Nothobranchius furzeri: one gene and its partners. The protein of the gene in region 3 purifies or fractionates together with the protein of the main gene of each other region. This does not show direct contact. Links are inferred from orthologs where the notes say so. Each region holds a gene or a part of one and is shown on either strand. Other genes may lie near its edges.

What was found. Proteins that work in one complex are often made in the same cells at the same time.
Region 1: the proteins of stau1 (region 3) and rpl13 purify together in Homo sapiens (affinity purification with mass spectrometry; 3 studies listed by BioGRID and IntAct, with this or other methods). This does not show direct contact. The link is inferred for Nothobranchius furzeri from reciprocal best matches to the Homo sapiens genes STAU1 and RPL13.
Region 2: the proteins of stau1 (region 3) and heterogeneous nuclear ribonucleoprotein Q-like purify together in Homo sapiens (affinity purification with mass spectrometry; 3 studies listed by BioGRID, with this or other methods). This does not show direct contact. The link is inferred for Nothobranchius furzeri from reciprocal best matches to the Homo sapiens genes STAU1 and SYNCRIP.

Annotation. Positions count from the first base shown.
Region 1 is NC_091749.1:58,214,349-58,217,130, forward strand, and holds the end of rpl13 (large ribosomal subunit protein eL13), read left to right. Parts: intron 1-1,167; coding exon 1,168-1,341; intron 1,342-1,654; coding exon 1,655-1,711; intron 1,712-1,826; exon of another isoform or gene 1,827-1,914; intron 1,915-1,966; coding exon 1,967-2,125; 3' UTR 2,126-2,174; downstream 2,175-2,782. UniProt on the Homo sapiens protein: Component of the ribosome, a large ribonucleoprotein complex responsible for the synthesis of proteins in the cell.
Region 2 is NC_091742.1:17,028,165-17,031,793, reverse strand, and holds the end of heterogeneous nuclear ribonucleoprotein Q-like, read left to right. Parts: intron 1-96; coding exon 97-250; intron 251-367; coding exon 368-486; intron 487-554; coding exon 555-776; intron 777-923; coding exon 924-1,100; intron 1,101-1,173; coding exon 1,174-1,309; intron 1,310-1,376; coding exon 1,377-1,582; intron 1,583-1,710; coding exon 1,711-1,860; intron 1,861-1,928; coding exon 1,929-2,050; intron 2,051-2,187; coding exon 2,188-2,788; 3' UTR 2,789-2,835; coding exon of another isoform or gene 2,836-2,843; 3' UTR 2,844-3,021; downstream 3,022-3,629. UniProt on the Homo sapiens protein: Heterogenous nuclear ribonucleoprotein (hnRNP) implicated in mRNA processing mechanisms. Component of the CRD-mediated complex that promotes MYC mRNA stability.
Region 3 is NC_091743.1:66,055,652-66,059,734, reverse strand, and holds the start of stau1 (double-stranded RNA-binding protein Staufen homolog 1), read left to right. Parts: upstream 1-1,197; 5' UTR 1,198-1,388; intron 1,389-3,125; 5' UTR 3,126-3,228; coding exon 3,229-3,427; intron 3,428-3,543; coding exon 3,544-3,662; intron 3,663-3,740; coding exon 3,741-3,885; intron 3,886-3,996; coding exon 3,997-4,083. Other genes in the region: pbrm1l (polybromo 1, like), read left to right, coding at 213-277, 397-601, 707-870. UniProt on the Homo sapiens protein: Binds double-stranded RNA (regardless of the sequence) and tubulin.

The DNA of each region.
Region 1 (2,782 bases), on a different chromosome or scaffold from region 3:
AGAAGTTAAAAGGAGAGAGAAATAGAAGATAGAAGTTCTTGTTCAACTTTATTCTTTTGTTTCATGATGATAAACTGATGTTGAATTCAGCTTAAAGAGAAACTGGGAGGAAGCTTTGGTTCATTTTAAGTTACAGGAGGTCTGTCTCCTATCTGCTCCTCCAGAGACAGCATGGACATGAAGGTTACATGGTGAGGGTCCCACAGGACAGGTTAGTGGAAAGGTTTGTAGTTAGCTGGTTAGTGAAGGAGATCCATCAGCTGGGTAATTTAATCCTAATCCAGGCCACAGCCTTCTGCTGGTGTTATCAGAAAGAATAAAACACACATCTTAAATATTATTGGAAGTGTAGAATTAGTTTTATGTTTTATTGTTTTCTGCATCAAACAGAACTTGATTCATTCTCCAACATTTCAGAAACGAACCACTGGGTTCAAATAAAATAATAAACTAAGTCAAACATTTCATTTGGTGTTATTTCTGACAGCCTTCAACTGTGGCATACATATTTGACTCTAGAGCTGCTCAGAGACATTAAACATTCATATATGGACCCATTATGTATTTTATTATTACATTATGTGTCCTGTAGGTTTTCAGTACCTTTTTTAGATTTTGTGAGTTTTTGCAAAGCGTGTTTTTCTCAGCCTGATGCGTGGTGTTGAACGAGGAAACAGATTGTTTTACTTTATTAAATCTTCTTAAATGTTTAAAATGTTTTGTCCTAACCTGTTGTGGATGGAGAGATTTTGAGGAATGGCAAGTTGTGTCAATTACGTTTTTGATAAAAATAAAAAAAAAGCAATTATCTGACATCTTCTATTTATCGATGAAAACAAATCAATATGAAATAATCGTGATGCATCGGGATATCGAATTGAATCGTTGACCCAATAATCATAATCAAATCGGGAGACAAGTGAAGATTCACACCTCTAGTCAACACCAGCTTTAGTGTCGGTGTTCATATAAATGCTGTTCCTTTCTGGTCTGTCCAATATAATTCCAGACTGTGTGTTAGTATCTGGACCCATTAGGTTATCAGTGTTTTACATTGCTGCAGTCATCTCCCGAGGCTATATATTTGTTAGGAACGTTGAACCTTATTTTTATATGGTTGCGGTTTGAGTTGTCCTTGTTCTCAACAAGGTCTGCTCTGTCCTGCAGGCGGCCGGAATCCACAAGAAGACAGCCCGCACTATTGGCATCTCTGTTGACTCTCGTCGTCGCAACAGATCCACAGAGTCTCTTCAGGCTAATGTGCAGCGTCTGAAGGAGTACCGCTCCAAACTCATCCTGTTCCCCAGAAAGGCATCTGCACCCAAGAAGGGTGACAGCTCAGTAAGTTTGGCTTTTACCTCTTCACACATGGACTTGTTGGAAAATGCACAATATAGCAGCTGGAAAGGTAATTCACATCATGGCCCCTCTGTTTTAATTGCGTGAGATGGATGTAAAAATGTTCATCATCCTTTATGTAAACCAATGAGCACAAATAGCCATCTGATATAGTTATCAGTGTGGTTTTAGATCAGTCTGTATGCTCATCTGTGTGATTTACACAAGTGCAGATGTTGGCCATATGTTCTGATGAACTTTTTTTACTAGGGTGTTTTATTTATCTCTTAAAAAAAATTTCCTGATCTTGTTTCAGGAGGAGGAACTGAAGATGGCCACCCAGCTCTCTGGTCCCATCATGCCCATCAAAACTGTAAGTTCATGATCTTTAAGTTTCTGTAAAATTTACATTAAATATGTTGATTTCATACTTTAAATTTCATGCATTCATTATGTGTGCATGAATCTTTGGTACCACAGCAGTCAGATGATGACACATCTCCGGAATCTCTGCACTATGTTGATGAAAAATGTGAACCCTTTTTTCTGATGACTGTTAAAAAAACAAGGCTTGTTAATCAGAGTTGAAGCTTATTTCTGTCTAATGAGTTCTTTTCTTTGTTTTCAGGTACACAAGAAAGAGAAGGCCCGTGTTATCTCCGAGGATGAGAAGAACTTCAAGGCATTCGCCAGTCTGCGTATGGCCCGGGCCAATGCCCGTCTTTTTGGCATTCGTGCTAAGCGAGCCAAAGAGGCAGCTGAGCAGGACGTGGAGAAGAAGAAGTGAAAATGATCATTATGGAACTTTGCAAATAAAGTCTTTAAAAAAGAGCAAAGTGAGATTGATGTATTTTTGAACAAACTTCAGTTGTAATTGTGGAAAAAGTAGAAAAGAGTAATTGCAATGAGGTTCACAGGAACAAAGTTAATCAGGAATTAAATCTTTCATGTGGGCCTAAAGTAGAAGTGGTACCTCTTTTGATAATTTGTCATACAGCCAGGATGCAATTTGGTTGGGGGAACTTTCCTCTGCTTTTGATGTCCCTCCCTACTTTTATTCGTGGGTGGGATAAGTTTTTTTTTTCTTTTTGTAGGAAGATCGTTTATGACGTCCAGTACTGTGACTTTTCCAGGGTATGATACTACTGGTAGTTTTTCTGGTCATTAGTTGAAATCACCCAGATTTCTAAAACATCTGCCCGTCTCCCAAGTAAATACCAGCCATCCACAGTCTCCCAGTGTGCTGTCCTGCCCATCCCGAATAGGCTGAGTTTGTGCATTAGGAAGCTGTAACCGTGCAGCTGCATCAGGGTCACACACAAACACTCCACACCAGCAGATTGTCTCAAGTCTGTTCAGTCTTGGATGCTCCTCGATCCACAGGTCCAACTTGAAAAATCCATGTTGAAAAAAACGTCTCCTGTCTGCTACCTGTACTGGTCCT
Region 2 (3,629 bases), on a different chromosome or scaffold from region 3:
GCTACAGAACAATTTGTACATGTTTACTCAGCGTTTCTAAAAGACATAGATCTGTCTCCCATGAGCCCCGGTGGTAACTGAGCTCTGTGTCTGCAGATGTCTGGAGACATGGCCACAGACCACGTTAACGGGAACACAGAGGAGCCCACGGACACATCAGCAGTGGCCCACACGGAACATTTCCCGGCCTTGTTGGAAGCTGGTTTAGCTCAGAAGGTAGCGGAGAAGCTAGATGAGCTGTTTGCAGAAGGTACGGTCTGCAGTTACCTGACAACAGTGTTTCCTACCTGTATGGTGGTGTTGGTTGGTGTGAGAGCAGAACATCATTAAGTGCATCTAATAATAGTTACTGCATTTCCTGCCACAGGTCTGGTGGCTCACAGTGACCTGGATGAACGAGCCCTCGAAGCTTTAAAGGAGTTTAATGAAGATGGAGCTCTGCAGGTGCTGGTCCAGTTTAAGGAGAGTGATCTGTCACACGTACAGGTAAGCATCCTCACCTGGAGGCTTTCACACTGACTTTTTTCATTTGAAAAGGAATTGTTGTTTTCCAGAACAAAAGTGCCTTTCTTTGTGGGGTGATGAAGACCTACAGGCAGAGAGAGAAACAAGGGACTAAAGTCTCACCTTCCACCAAAGGACCAGACGAGGCAAAGATAAAAGAGCTGCTAGAAAGAACCAGCTACACCCTGGACGTAACGACAGGCCAGAGGAAGTACGGAGGACCTCCACCCGAGTCTGTGTTCTCCGGTCCCCAGCCAACCATCGGGACTGAGGTGAGATGTCTGCGGGTCTGAAGATCAAACCTGAGAGGGAAAAATCATTTATGTTTCAGCTTATGAAGGTCAAACACACAGCCAGTAAATGCTATCACCAATGAAACACGGACAGCCTAACGGACACGGTTGGACTCCCACCCCCAGATATTTGTTGGAAAGATTCCTCGTGACCTGTTTGAAGATGAGCTGGTTCCTCTCTTTGAGAAGGCGGGGCCTATCTGGGACCTCAGGTTAATGATGGACCCCCTGAGCAGCCTGAACAGGGGCTACGCCTTCATCACCTTCTGTGCTAAAGAAGGAGCCCAGGAGGCTGTGAAGCTGGTCAGTTAAACAGAAGTAGCCCAGGTGTTGAAGGTAAACTCATCATCTCTAAGCTCTGTGTTGTGTTGTGTAGTGTAACAACTACGAGATCCGCCCTGGGAAGCACATCGGCGTTTGCATCTCTGTTGCCAACAACAGGCTGTTTGTTGGCTCCATCCCCAAGAACAAAAACAAGGAGCAGATCGTGGAAGAGTTCTCTAAAGTCACAGGTAGGCGCTGCCGTAGAAACGCATCTGACCACAAGCCCTCTGTGATCGCTGTTTTCTGTCTGAGCAGAAGGTGTCAGTGATGTCATACTGTACCATCAACCCGATGACAAGAAGAAGAACCGAGGTTTCTGCTTCCTGGAGTACGAAGACCACAAAACCGCTGCTCAGGCCCGCCGCCGACTAATGAGCGGTAAGGTCAAGGTCTGGGGCAACCTGGTGACGGTCGAGTGGGCGGATCCCATCGAGGACCCCGACCCAGATGTCATGGCCAAGGTGAGCCGAGACTTACCGAGCCCGAAGAGGCTCGAGGGGAAGTCAGGAACTAATAACGTATATTTCAGTTAAAGTAGCGCGGCGGGACAGGCGGCCCGAAGCTGAGCTGCTGCTGCTTCCTGTTGCAGGTGAAGGTCTTATTTGTCAGGAATCTCGCCAACGGCGTTACGGAGGAGCTCCTGGAGACGACCTTCAGCCAGTTTGGAAATTTAGAGCGAGTGAAGAAACTAAAAGACTACGCCTTTATTCACTTTGCAGAGCGGGACGGAGCAGCAAAGGTACGGCAGAACTCCAACACCGTACAGCCGCTTCAGACGGCGTCCTAAACCCGGTTTGTGTTCGTCAGGCCCTTCAAGACCTGAACGGGAAGGAGCTGGAAGGGGAGCCCATCGAGATTGTTTTTGCCAAACCGCCAGATCTGAAAAGACAAGAGCGTAAAGCCCAGAGACAAGCCGCTAGGACACAGATGTAAGTCCCTCCCCTTAAGTGGCAGGATGACATCATCACTATTTACCCACAGTGAGCCTAAAGAAACAAACAGCTTTATAATAGTGGTTTACCTGGAGAATCAGAGCTTTGATGTGTGTTTTTTTTCTATCCACCAGGTTTAATGACTATTACCACTTCCCCCCTCCTGCCCACGTATCTCCTTCCAGCAGGGGGCGGGGCCGAGGGGCCAATCGCGGCGGCTACTCCTACGCTCCTGACTACTACAGTTACGAGGACTACTATGACTACTACAGCTACGACTATCACAACTATCGCAGCGGCTACGATGACCCGTACTATGGCTACGATGACTACCAGGGCAGAGGGCGGAGCGGCAGCCGAGGCCTCCGGGGCGGAGCCTCGCCAGCTAGAGGACGTGGCGGCGTGGGGCCGCCCAGGGGCAGGGCCAACTTCTCCCAGCGCGGTGGGCCAGGACCAGGCCGAGGCGGGCGCAGAGCACGAGGAGGCATGCAGCCGAGAGGGCGAGGAGGGGTACGTGGTGCTCGGGGTGGTCGCGGTGGAAATGTAGGAGGAAAGCGCAAAGCTGACGGGTACAACCAGCCCGATTCCAAACGGCGCCAGACCAATAATCAGAACTGGGGCTCGCAACCCATTGTTCAGCAGCCGCTCCATGGTGGCGATCATTCTGGTAACTATGGTTACAAATCTGACAACCAGGAGTTTTATCAGGATTCTTTTGGGCAACAGTGGAAGTAGAGCCGACGGGCTTCGATTAAATAAGCTCTTTGTTTTTGTCTTTTTAGAGACTTGATCTGATTGGCCCTCAGTCCTCACAGTTGCCTGCATTTTTTTCTGTTTTCCTCCAAATTGGTAACATGAGCAGATCTTTATTTGAATAATACACTTGGACTCCCAACATAGCCACACTCCCACGTGTTACTCCTGCCTGGTTTGTACGATTTTCACAGCAAACTTTTAAACCCTTTTTTTAGACGACCAATGTGCTGGAGCGGCATTCTGGCTCCGGCTCTGTGTTTTTAGACATTCTGGTTTCCATGTTTCAGTAGCTAACAGCAACAACGCTAATGTCTCCTGCACATGTGTTTAAACCAATGAACTTACGATTTGTATTGTCTAAGTACTGCGTGTGTTGTCCTGGAGCAGAAAGGAAACGGGGCCGCGGCGCTCCTGGTTCTGGCTTCACATTTTGGCTTGTACTCTGCTGTTTGTCTGCATTAATAAACATACACGCACACGTGTACAAAACTTCAAATTGTGTTTCAAATTCATGTTTCGGCAAATTCTCTTTTCAAATTTCCTTCAAATTTAAGGCTCCTTGTGGAAGGAAAAGGACCAAAGGTTTGCCAAAGTTGGCCACGTGCTACAGTGTCACCATGCATGAGTCACCTACTCCTGAGTCGGCATCTCCAGTGCTCTGTATGTGTAGAGTGGCATACTCCATCCATCCAAAAACATTAACGTCTGACAAATTGGTGTCGTAAATTCAGCGTGAAGGCAGCATCAAGAGTAAGCCCCGCCCACGTTCCTTACCGACCCATGGGAGAAAAAGCACAATTTGAGTCCCAAAGTGAAGCTT
Region 3 (4,083 bases):
AGCTACACACCGAACTGTCGAAGCTCGCTGGTCTTGCCCATCCAGATCTACATTCACATAGTTATGCATGACAAACTGATACCAGATGACTAACATTTAGCTAATTTTCATGCATTAACTTTCTCAGAGGCTGTGTTGAAAACATGAAGCAAACTATAAATTAGGTAAATTCCTTTTCCTCATTTGTCAGAGTAAATCTTGTGTTTAAACAGGTATGATGGGCGCTGGTGCAAATGGGATGGCAGGAAGTCCTGGACAAGGAAATTTTATGCAACAGGTGTTTTTTTTGTTTTTTTTTTTGTTAATACAGAGCAGTTGAAACCATGTTGTAAATAAAAGCTAGACTGACTGAAATGAACAGTGCGGGTTTACCACAATTGCTTTATTTTATTTTAGCCTGGGGTGTTTAGTCCAGGACAGCACGCTCCTCCACCATATCCCGGACAGGGCCAGCCATCTCATCTGCAGCCCACCACTCCCATGTTTGTTGGACCACCACCAAAGACCCAGAGGGTGCTCCACTCAGAAGCCTACCTGAAGTACATTGAGGGCTTAAATTCAGAATCAAGCACTGTCAGCAAGTGGGACCAAATGCTAAAAGGTGATGCTTTTCCCCTCACTCCCAAATCAGTTTGCTTCTCTGTGCGTTGATGCAAATTCAACATTTTTGTTGTTGTTGTTTACTGATAACTTTTATCCATAACAGCTCAAAGACGAGATGCTCACTTTACCAAAGAGCAGGAGAGTCGCCTTCCAGCACACTGGTTGAAGAGCAAAGGAGCTCACACAACAATGGTGGATGCGTTGTGGCGTTTACGGGACTTGATGCTGAGAGACTCACTGAATATTTGTCAGGCTTACAACCTGTAACCTCCCAAACAGAACCACTAACCTCAGTAACTACTCTTATCCTCAGTTTGTGGAGTTTTCAAATGGTAGAAAGCAATATTTTATAGTGGGTCACAACCATTTTATATTTATTAGCTAAAAAAGTGAACTTGATAGTGATTTGTGTGCATTTTTATACCGTCTTAAATCATAGTTCTGCTAAAACCTGTGATTTTATTTTATTGTCTTATTGATGCAACCAGAATAAAAAGCTGCAAACCTCATGTTTGTTTCATTTTTTATGTAGCTTCTTGCCTTTTTGGATTTTATTTTTGAAGTACTTCCGGTTTGATGACGCCATTTCCGTGAGACGATCAAGACCGTGCCATTCTCTTTAGTGTTTGCCGTGTCCTCCCAATGTTCGCCTCCTTGCCTCCCGCATTTTGAATACAAATTAACAGACACTGACTCTTGAAGCTGAACGTAAAACCAAACAAACCCCATTAAGCCATATTTTATTATGGATTAACAAAAAAAAAACGAAGAAAAGTAGCGAAGAGGTGAGGCTTGCTTTGTGCACTGTCGGCTTTAGCTAGCTGCTAAGCTAATTTGTCAACACCGGCTGCTTTCTGGTTCGTTGGCCAAATAACCTGAAACATGTCCTTGACCAGACTAAAAAAATATTGTAAGACTTTACTGATGTTTAGTTGTAAGCTAAGTGTTTTTGGTAAGTTTTTTACCTAACGATTCTAAAAGTGATATCAGGTTGCTACACCGGTGCCTTTGCGGTGAGCTGACCGGTTTGCTAACATGCTCCTTCGGAGTAGCCTTTATTAACTCCTCGCGGCCTTATTTAGAAATGGATCATGTTCTGACAATAATGTATGTATATATGTTTTAAATATTTGTAAAGACAAGAGTTATGGGCTGTATAATGCATTGACATGTTTTTTGCAAGTGTTTTTGGTCCATTCTCTGCATCGGCTAACCTGCCAGTAATCTTGTTTTTAACATAAATGTAGCATTAAGATAACCTTTTAGCAACAAAAAGCATGCTATTAAGTTCCGCAGTTTGTTGCGTGCGACCGGTGGTCCATGGGAAATGAGAGGTGGTTCAGTTAGAGGCTTTAGAGGCTCATCCTTTCCAGCCAAACTGATGTGATGGAGAAACGTGAATATCAGAACAAGCAGACGCTGCTGAAATCTGATTTTCAATCTTTGTCCTTTGTTTTGCAATGGATCAAGATCCAATCATGAAAAATAACAAAACGGATGAAAAATGTTTACAGTTCATCACCCAGGCAGGATGGGTGTCAAGTTAAAGCATGAAAAACATGCCATCAGTGCAATAATCCAGTATTACTGAATAACATGTTTGCTGCTGCGTAAAGGCTTTTTGCACATTATTTAGTCCGGTAAAGATTAAATTTAATGTATGTATTTTTATATCTGCCTTTTCTTATATCATGTTTATTTTATTGTTTGCGCCACTTGAGTGCCACCCAGTTTCAAGTATTCACATGCAATGCCACTAAAACCTTCTGATTTCTAAACAGGGGGTCTCCCTCCTGAAGCTAGGGAGGAGCCCCTTGAGCTCTGGTTCTTGGCCTGGGCTTTGGGTCTGATTGTGGCCTGGCTCATGCACCATGGTCAGATACTGGGGGTGCTGCCGTCCCTTCTGGAGCCAAGAAGGAGACCCATGAGCTCTGGTTCTCAGCTTGGGCTGTAGGTCTGAGTATGGCCCGGCTCATGCAACATGGTTGGAGTTAAACAAATATTATATCACAATGACAAAGGAACATTTTTGACATAACATTTATAAGTTATCTTTGAAGAGGTTCTTTAAATGAATAAACAGTTTATTTAAAAAAATTAAACAGCCATGGGCACCAAGTAAACATTTGGTGTATCTCATTGTCATGTGTCAGCCTCAACGTATCTCTTCAGTAAGTGAAAAGAAATAAATGATAAAGAAAAATGTGGACACCTGCTAGAAAGAGTGCTACTTTTGCAATATATGCATTTTTAATTACATAAATTGATGTACTGTTGAGAGATTTGCAATAACTACAGGCACTGATTTAATGATATTAATGGTCAAATTAGCTACATTTAATCCAGTGGCGGTTTTTAGAACCAACATAAATATATAAACCTCACAATGAAGCTAATAACTGCAATAAATTGCAATCATCTCTCTTGTAACAAAACCATGCTAATTTTCTAACCAAGAATCGTTTGAAAATGCAAATTATTTGGTAAAATACATTTGTTATAATATCATATTTCTTTCTCAGACTCTTCTCCAGGCCAAGCTTTTATCCTGACCTCTTCAGTCCTCGGTCACTCCCACACTGTAAATCACTAATCTTGACTTCAACCTTCAACAATACAAGAGCAATGAGGATGTCTCAGCTTCAGTTTCAGTGTCCTGTTAGTTCCATGCCTGCTGCTTCTGCCCCCCTTCAGCTGGGACAGCCGCAGCCTGGCTACAGCATCCCCTGTGCTACGGGCGCCCTACCATCGGAGAGTGCCAGTCAGCCCATCAGGAGCTCCGCCCTCCCTGCGGGCTCTGCCACTCCTTATAATACCACCACAGGTACTTTCTTTTTGAAATAGTTTGGGTTTCTTTCCTTCACCATCTAGATCTGGGTTGACTCCAGAAGCTGTGGCTGTCTGCATCTTTCTTTAATGGTGTTTATTATTTTGTTTCAGTAAACATGGCAAACCCTAAAGAGAAGACCCCCATGTGCTTGGTGAATGAGTTAGCTCGTTTCAACAAGCTCCAACCTGAATATAAGCTGCTTTCTGAGCAAGGGCCAGCACACTCCAAGGTACAGCGGGTGTGAAGTCTCACACGTCCAACCCGTTGTCCTGTCGGGTTTACAGTAATGATAGAAGGTCTGTTTCAGATTTTCTCAGTGAGGTTGACGCTGGGAGATCAACACTGGGAGGCGGAGGGGACCAGTATCAAGAAAGCCCAGCATTCCGCTGCTGCTTCTGCTCTTACTGAGACAACTCTTCCCAAACCCACCATGAGGATGCCGCGTAACACAGGCAGGAACCCACATGGGCTTCTCCCGCTGGTTCTGTTTTCTCATTATAATTAACATTTTACGATCGGAGAGTTGATGTGTTACATTTTGTATTTTCTTGTGTCCCCTGCAGCTGATGGCATCACACACACCATGGAGCTGAATGCACTTTGCATAAAGCTCGGTAAAAAACCCATCTATAAACCCATCGACCCGTATC